Oryzias latipes: one gene and its partner. The protein of the gene in region 1 interacts with the protein of each later gene in a biochemical or structural test. Links are inferred from orthologs where the notes say so. Each region holds a gene or a part of one and is shown on either strand. Other genes may lie near its edges.

What was found.
Region 2: the proteins of T-cell acute lymphocytic leukemia protein 1 (region 1) and lmo2 form a complex in vitro, tested with the Homo sapiens proteins (2 studies listed by BioGRID). The link is inferred for Oryzias latipes from reciprocal best matches to the Homo sapiens genes TAL1 and LMO2.

Annotation. Positions count from the first base shown.
Region 1 is NC_019875.2:24,187,764-24,192,245, forward strand, and holds the start of T-cell acute lymphocytic leukemia protein 1, read left to right. Parts: upstream 1-1,618; 5' UTR 1,619-1,775; intron 1,776-2,757; 5' UTR 2,758-2,877; coding exon 2,878-3,413; intron 3,414-3,705; coding exon 3,706-3,824; intron 3,825-4,482. UniProt on the Homo sapiens protein: Implicated in the genesis of hemopoietic malignancies. It may play an important role in hemopoietic differentiation. Serves as a positive regulator of erythroid differentiation.
Region 2 is NC_019864.2:14,855,578-14,859,967, reverse strand, and holds lmo2 (rhombotin-2), read left to right. Parts: upstream 1-1,480; 5' UTR 1,481-1,946; coding exon 1,947-1,987; intron 1,988-3,309; coding exon 3,310-3,525; intron 3,526-3,703; coding exon 3,704-3,929; 3' UTR 3,930-4,362; downstream 4,363-4,390. UniProt on the Homo sapiens protein: Acts with TAL1/SCL to regulate red blood cell development. Also acts with LDB1 to maintain erythroid precursors in an immature state.

The DNA of each region.
Region 1 (4,482 bases):
CCATAGACTCCTTAGCTAAAAACATATGAAAAACTAAATCTTTTTAAAAACGATTTTATTGTTGTTTTGCTTGACTTAAAGTAGTGTATATGTTTGGCTATAGTATATTTTATTTTTCCAATGACCTAGCGTGAGATTATTGCTTCAAAATAAAACAACAAATAAAAAAACAAGTCTGATGCACATTTATGCCCACAAAGTTATCGAGCTTCATTTATATTAAATGAAATGTCAAGAATTAGAACTACACTGGGTCAAAAATTCTTACAATTGGTAAAATGTTGTCTAAATAAGCAACATAATCTGCCAATAGAGTAAAGAAAATACTCTTACCAAAATATGAATGGTATTTTAAGAAAAAAATTCCAGTTACTAAAAAGTGTTTTCTGAACTAAGATTATTGTGCTTTTCAAAAACTTTCTTGATAAGATTATTTTTTAAACGTAAATAAGACATTTTTTCTTGAAACAAGGGTTTCATAAGATTCCGTTTTTGCATTGTATGTTTTTATATTGATTGCCGCATATATCTGTTGGCCACATTTGTTTGATTGCTCATGTGCGAATGTTGCAAAGAAGGGACGAGTGGCAGCTGCAAAAAGTTAGAGCTCACGCCAAGTGGTTAAAAACGCAGGATGTAGGAGAAAGATCGTGACTGCTGTCGTGACTGAGAGCAAACTATCTATCTATCTATCTATCTATCTATCTATCTATCTATCTATCTATCTATCTATCTATCTATCTATCTATCTATCTATCTATCTATCTATCTATCTATCTATCTATCTATCTATCTATCTATCTATCTATCTATCTATCTATCTATCTATCTATCTATCTATCTATCTATCTATCTATCTATCTGAATTGAATAAACAGGAGAAAATTGGTGTATAAAATCCGTTATTAGAATGTCCATGTTCAGATTAGGGCCGTCCCGCGTGTGTCCCGATAGTGTGTCGGTTGATGCTCCGCTCCTTTATCTGATGTCTCCAGGGGCCGAGCGAAGTTATTTTTTATCTCCAGGAGCCATGACTCTGCATGGAGGCCAACGTCCCCGGAGCTGCAACAACGCCTCTGACACAGAAGATGATATTTTATTTCTTTCTTCCAGTCAGGATATGATGATTAATTAAATCGGGAGACGTATATATCATTGCGCATCATGGTTTAAAATAGTTAAGCATTAATAGACGAGCGTGGATTGATGACATACGAAAGAAACAGACAAGAAAAAAAAGACTTTTTTGTATAGTTAATTGTAAAATAAGAAAAAGGGAAAAAACATATGATTTGAGTATATATTGTTCAAAAGCTGCAATATTTTGTTTATTTTATAAAAAAAAGAGCCGACTTTAGTATCTCAGCCCTACAGTATGCAGTCCACTGCCTCTTGTTACAGGCCGTTGCTCTGTGCCTGTTTGCTTTTTTAAATGCCTTGCCCTCCACAAGACTATATAGCCCACGACAGCCAAATAATAATGAATCATTTCATAAATAATGGGTTTAGGGGCTTATCGGTAATGAAGAGGCCGCTGCCGTGCGCTTATCTCACTCGGCCACATTGCGGCCTGTGTTCCGCTCCCCATGCAGAGGGAGCGCACTGGATGCGGCGAGGAATAACTCAGAAAGGCGCGCACGCCCATACACACACAATCTCTCACACACCCTGCTCACACACTGCTCCTAAACTGGTGGAAAAAAACCTCAGACATGGATGACCCACTCACAAAATGGCTCCACTTACACAGTAACATCAACAACGCGTCTGGAGCGGTAAGTCCGAGAAATATGCGCTTTGTTGGAACCGTCGTCTTTTAACGCTAAAATCCAGCTGCTGTCGGACACTTATTAGGGATATCATGGAAGAAATTTGATGACATTTCCTTCGGTTTTTTGTGCGATCGTGTGAGAATGTCCTGGATAACGGATGCGCGGCCTGCGTATGCATTCACGGGGAAAAGGAGTGCGCTTTTTTCGACGAAAAACCATCCATCTGCGGTCTTAAACGCGTTTCTGTTACATTTAATCGAATATTTCACTCGAACACCTGACGCCGGTGTGTAGTGCAGCGATGACCCTGTTAACATAAGCAACACTGGCCTTCTTATTCTAACCAAATGGACGCAGCAGTTTTCTCATTTTGCGCGTAAAAACCCAATCCACCCGGGTTCTATAGGTTCTTCTAGGGATTTCTTTGGATTAAAAACGAAAGAATAGTTTTACTTTGACAGGCACCACTCGTTACTCAGCTCACCGTGTGGTTTTGCTCTCCAAACTGTCTCTACGAGGAGGTTTTATATCTTTGTTCCCAGCAAAACACAACGAATTTCGATTTGAATTCATTAACTTTAAATGTTATTTAAACATTAAATATATAGTTACATTTACACAAGTATATAAAGCGATAGAAACTGAGGTAATCTACGTTTTATTTAAAAATGTTTTTATATGTAAACTAAAATGTCACATTTAAAATATGTCTCCATTTTGTGGTAAAAACGTTCAAAGCTTTTCCGAAACTGTTAAACGTGATGGGCCCAGCTTTTAAACTGTTCCATTTTTTATATGTTCCAAAGAACCAAACCCAGAGAAATGATTTGGATTTTAACTTTAGCAGTGCAACTCTTTAAATAAGAACTGAAAGCAGCAGCACATCGTCGATTAACAATCATGTTCATTTGATTAATTATAGACTCGTAATTAACCGCACGATATAAATGAAAGTCTGGTGGTGACGATCTCTTTCTTTCGATAGGTCTGTAAGGACACTGAATGATGCTAATATTTGACACGGACGCCTCAAATCATCTTTTGATAATGAAATAATTGTTGAGAATTAAATGAAGGACTGCAGGGCGGACTTGAACGATTAAAAATGATGGAAAAACGGCAGCAGGAGCTTTGTCCTGGAAGTCCCGATGCGGGCTCCGGTCCTGGAAAGTGGGAGGATTCCGCCATCATCTCCAGACAAAACGGATACAAGGAGGACGAAGAGCCTCAGAGAGAGGAGGAGAGAGAAGAAGAGGGAGAGGAGGAGGAAGACGATGAGGAGAGGGGAGGGAGCTTCAAAGGCGCTGAGGAGACGGATGACGTTCCTCTGCAGAACTCGAGCAACGGGACCAGCATTATCATCAACGGCGTTGCCAAGGAAACTGCCTCTCACAACGCCCTTGACCTGAAAAGGGAAGTGCCGGTGATCGAGCTCTCCAGGAGGGAGGCTATAAAAGTGCTAGAGCCGAGGACTGAAAGCCATTTGGTGCCGATCACAGAACTTCGCAGACCTCCACCGCTGCCGCTCCCTCCGCCGCAACGAGACGACGCTCGAATGGTCCAACTGAGCCCAAACGCGTTTCCTGTCCCGGCGCGGGCGATGCTCTACAACCTGGCACAGCCTCTTGCAGCCATCAACAGGTAAAGCTGCAGGCAGGAAGAGAAAAAACTAATGATTTTATGAAAGCACAAGCATCTTTACTGTCGGTGTTCAGCATGAAAAATATTGTGGCTCCATTGTGCATTGCAGAAGTATTAAATTCTGCAAAAAAAGTGGTGCACTTGAGTTTTATTTAAAGTATTAAGTCACCTTGCTCTCTAAAGCTTCAACTTGTGAACAGGTTGCAACCTTAAGAGTTGGTTACAATATAATGAATGATGAAATGTATGTTTTTTTTTTTTATAATGCTTTTGTATTTTGTTGTTGTTATAGTCTTGGAGGGGAGTCGGAGCAGTACAGCATGTACCCCAGCAACAGGGTAAAGCGCCGCCCGGCGCCTTATGAGGTTGAACTCGACGAGGGTAGGCGCATTTTAGATCTTTATAAGTATGGTAAGATGCACTTCTGCTGTGTCCTCCTTCTGCCAGTATAGTTCCTAAATTTCCCTTCCCCATCTCCATCTTCATCCATCCACTGACATGGACCTGCTGTGTTGCAGAAGATGCCTCACCCAAAAAAAAGTCAACCAAAAAAATGAACAAAATAAATCATGACTCAAATTAGCTGCTGCTAATGCCAAATGTACCTGCATGCAATTAAAGTAAGCTCTTCTCTGGAAGATTTGGGGTTTATTTCAGAAATAACGTTTCCACTGCTGCCCACTCGCAGCCATGTAGGGGAGGAGAATGGGGATGCTGCTGCTTCCATGCCAAGGTTTTACTGCAGAGTGGGCTGAGGGATTAAGATAGACTGGGTGTGTTCCAAGGGCAACAATAGCCCAGAAGACATCATTGTTGGAGGTGGGAGGATGTGACTACCTGCAGTGAATCATTTCATTATGTCTAAATAAAAGGTAGGGTGCAGAAACTACTGAGTGAGTGGACACCCCCTATCAAATGTGGTTTGGCAACATGAACGTTTTTCCCATCCCTTTTAAAAAGTTTTGCACAGACTTTTGGCAAGAAAAAGAAAAAAAAATACTTTAATGGAGGACTAACTTTGCAGTTTTTCTCAAAGTTGGGCATTTGTTTTGGATTTGCAGCTAATTCT
Region 2 (4,390 bases), on another chromosome or scaffold:
GGCCCAAAGTATGTTTTTAGTTTGTCCACTGTCAAGTAATAATATGCACAAGCCTTGAAATATGTTTAATTTGGCAAAGTGTCAAATTATATATTCTATTATGTGAAACAACAAGTTTTAGTTAATTCTGTGTTTGCGACAGTGCCATACATTATCTCACCCATCAGGGACAGAGAGGCAACAGTCAATTGAACTGATCCATTTAAAACTTTAAGAAACCTCATGTTTTAGTCTCCGTTAGTCTGTTAAATTAGTTTAGCAGTGATGTTTTTCTGTGGACTCACATGTTTGCTTATATGTTTTTCAACAGTTCCTAGGAAAGCTAAATGTCAAATGCTTTGACATTTGTCAAATGCTCTTAGTCTTTCACAACCTCTTGTAGTGAAAGAGATCAAGTTAATAGTAGTAATAAAAAGTTAGCTTTTTCTGGGGTGTTTTTTTTTGTGTGTCTCTTTCGGGGTCACGGGGCTGCCGGAGCCTATCCCGGCCACTTGTGGGCAAAGGCAGGGGACATCTTTATATGCGCTGGCCTTTATTAAATAAATAAATATAAATAAATATAAATATAAATCCTGGACAGGTCGCCAGTCAGTTGCAGGGCCTCAATCACACACTCACACCTAGGGGCAATTTAGAGTAACCAATGAAATGTTTATGATGTGGGAGGAAGCCGGAGTCCGGAGAGAAAACCCACGCATGCATGGGAAAAACATGCAAACTCCACACAGAAAGGTCCCCCATTGGTGTTCTGTTTCAGGTCCCCCAGCCGGGACTTGAACTGGGGGCCCTTCTTGCTGCAACCAAGAGCACTAACCACTGTTCCCCCCCAAAAGGGTAGTTACAGTTCTGATAAATTTATTTTCATCTTTATGTTACCCTCACTTAATCAAAAATATAATATAGTAAAGTAACTCAGATGGTCTGGCAATTGTTTTTTCTTTAATGTCATAACCAGGGCTCTGTAGATCAGCTTCTCTGCAGCAAGATCTTGTTCTCCTGTTTTTCCAATTCTGTACAGTAATGATGCCACATTTATTTAACACAACATTAACCGAATAGGGGATAATTCCGATAAAGCAAAAAATAAAGTTCAGAAAAAATATGGTTTTGAGATAAAATATGACACATGTAAACATCTGATTCTATATAGCAAATTACACCTTTAATCCACATTTTATACTAAATTGAATGAAAATATATTATGAATTGTCACCCCCCCCCCCCCCCATTTCACACATTATATATTAAACATTTTAATAAACAGTTCAAACTGTTTGTTGGGTTTTTTCACTATTTACTTTCTATTGAACTGTTTTTCGTTTTGGATCCAGCTCTCTGTTCTGTCCTAATAACTTTCTCTACATGATGATGGAGCTGCGGGCCAGGACACTTGTCTGCTGACATCACGACGTTGGTTATCTTTGCTCCATCAGCGCCTCAGGGGGAGAGAATTTCCCCTCACGTCAGTGTCGGTCACGACTCCGCTCCACGCCTGACAGAGCAGCCGGCGCGAACTTCTGTCGCTTTAAGACCGATTTCCCCCCATTGTCAGGCAGTCGTGAACAGGAAAAAGAGCAGTCAGTCACAGAATGGGGTGGGGGGTCATCCGCACGTTTAAGGCAGCTCCAGTCTAACCCCCCCTGGCCTGTGAGCGAATCCGCGGTGTCCTGGATGGCGTGGAGGTGCCAGCGCGCGCGTCAGCCCCAGGAAATGATGACAGCGTCCTCCATCGCCGCTCTGCTGACTAGAACAATCGGCCTTTTTGGTTATTCCTCCGCGAACATCTCGACTGAAGTCATCTTCCTGAATCAGGTCGTGCAGGGGGGATCTGGGCGCCGGTAGAGGCAGGTGCAGCGGCTGCGCAGGAGCTTCCCGGGACGCCGCAGAGAGACTAGAGGCTGTGGAGTCCGAACCCCGGAGCTGAGGCGCAGCGCATCTGGAGAAGAATGGTATCCACCATAGAGAGGAAGACGCTGGAGGCCAGCGAGTATGTGCTTTCCTTTTCCAAAGAATGAAGCTCAGGGTTCCTTAAGGCTTTCAAGGACATTGTCATCACAATTTAGAAAGCAACCAAACGGCACGTTATTTTAGGAAAGCAACCTCTGCAGTTAGATTCCACAAACAGAAGGTCTGGAATATGCAAAAGGCTTAGTAAAAAAACTAATCTTCAGGAAAAAACACACTAGACAGCAGTACAATTAACTATGCAGAACGTTAGTTTTACTTAAGAAATCTTATAGCAAAAAACATAATAAAATAAAATCTTGAAACAAGAAGTTCCACAGTAGCATTCTAAAAGGGGGAAAAATGGGTTAAAAAATCTAACTATTAGAGAGAATTACTGAAAACTGATTGTTTTAAAGCCCAATAAGTATTTTTTGTCATAGTTTGAGGCAAATGGTTTGTATTTTTTTTAAACTAATTGCAGTTCATCTTAATTGCAGTGCCAAAAAAACGAGTGTAATAAATGGAAATGACTTATTTTAGAACAAAATGTGAACAAAACCAGAATACGATCTAGCACATTTACTTAGAACATAAATCTAAATGTTTGTTTTGAAATTTAATGACAATAAATGGCAGTCTACATTTAATAAACTAAAAAATAACATCCTAACTGAACCATAAAACACAACAATTTCAGTGCATTTGAGTCATATATTAAGTTTTTATTCTGTTAAGATTTGGAGCAAAATGATTTTGACTCAATTTATTAATAATTTCCTTATTTCTACATACTAGTTCCTAATGAGACATAGGAATGTTTTCCACTGTACAGATTTTAAGAAAATCTTGGAAAGGTGTAGAGCAAAAGACAAATAAAAACAATTTCCAACCAGTTAAAATATCTTGAAAGTCTAAAACCAAGGTTTACAATCAAGTATCTATAAGTATCCCATAGTTTGTAGTGTGAGAAAGGGGAGCAAACAATCTTGTAACAGTACAAAAAAACAAATTGTATTGTATACACTTTCCAAATGTATTAATTTAGTATTTTAATCTGAAATATGCTCCTTCTCCAACCTTGCAGCTCCAAGCTACAAGACAAAAACATAAATAGTAGCATAAACCTTTGCAAATCAGTTGATAAAGATAGAATTTATCGGGGCACTAATAATGACATTTTATAGAATATGTTACTTTCAAAAGAAAATTGTATCAATTGGATAAAATGTGTTTGTTTTTTTTGAGCTAAGAGGAAAATCAAATTAAATTACAATAAATGAAGACTATGATCGATCTTCAGGGAATTCATAGATGATGAAAGTTCAATCCAGTTGTTTTTAATCTTCTTTTCATTTATATCAGGGAGCCGGTGGACGAAGTCCTGCAAATGCCCCCCTCCCTGCTGACATGTGGAGGTTGTCAGCAGAACATCGGGGACAGGTTCTTCCTGAAAGCCATCGAGCAATACTGGCACGAGGACTGCCTGAGCTGCGACCTGTGCGGCTGTCGTCTCGGAGAGGTGGGCCGTCGCCTCTACTACAAGTTGGGAAGAAAACTATGTCGACGGGATTATCTGAGGTTGGTCTGATGTCAATGATTATCTGTTTATTCCCTTATTTGAACAATTTATAAGAAGTATGCAGATCTAATGGGATATTAGGGGAGCACTGTCTTTTATTCTGGTGAGTCAGTTGAATGGAGATGCTGGAATGTCTTCTTGTAACATTGTCTTCCTTATCGATCATGCTCCACTCAGGCTGTTTGGTCAGGACGGTCTGTGTGCTTCCTGTGAAAAGAGGATCCGGGCGTTTGAGATGACTATGCGTGTGCGAGACAAGGTCTACCATCTGGAGTGTTTCAAATGCGCCGCCTGCCAGAAGCACTTCTGTGTGGGTGATCGCTACCTTCTCATCAACTCGGACATTGTCTGTGAGCAGGACATCTTCGAGTGGACTAAGCTCAACAACAGCAATATGGTGTAGCAGAATCTCTGACTGCTTTTCAGGATGGGATGGAACAAACCAATATCGCGTGGGCTCTGAACAGAATCCCTTTTTGCAGCCCGTATGGGTTTTATCGACCAACACATCGGGACTACAATGAACACAATGTAGTGTTGCACCATCCTGTGGAAATAACAACACCAGCAATACGAAAATATTCCCAAATGCAAAAAACGTTTTAAGTACGAAAAATTCTTAAATATGCAAAGAATAGTTTTGAACTTTGTAGAAAAAACAAAACAAACTTTGTTTTAAGGTTGTAAGTTGTTTTTGTCAGGCCTTCATATCTACAAGTGGATTCAAAACTTTAATTAGAAACTGGGTTGTAATTTCTATATGTTTTTCTTTGAACTCATTCATGGCTAAAAGGAATTTTGTTGAATCGTTTTAAGTAAATTTAACCAAACACTGATTGTGGGATCATTTATTGGCTTTTTTGC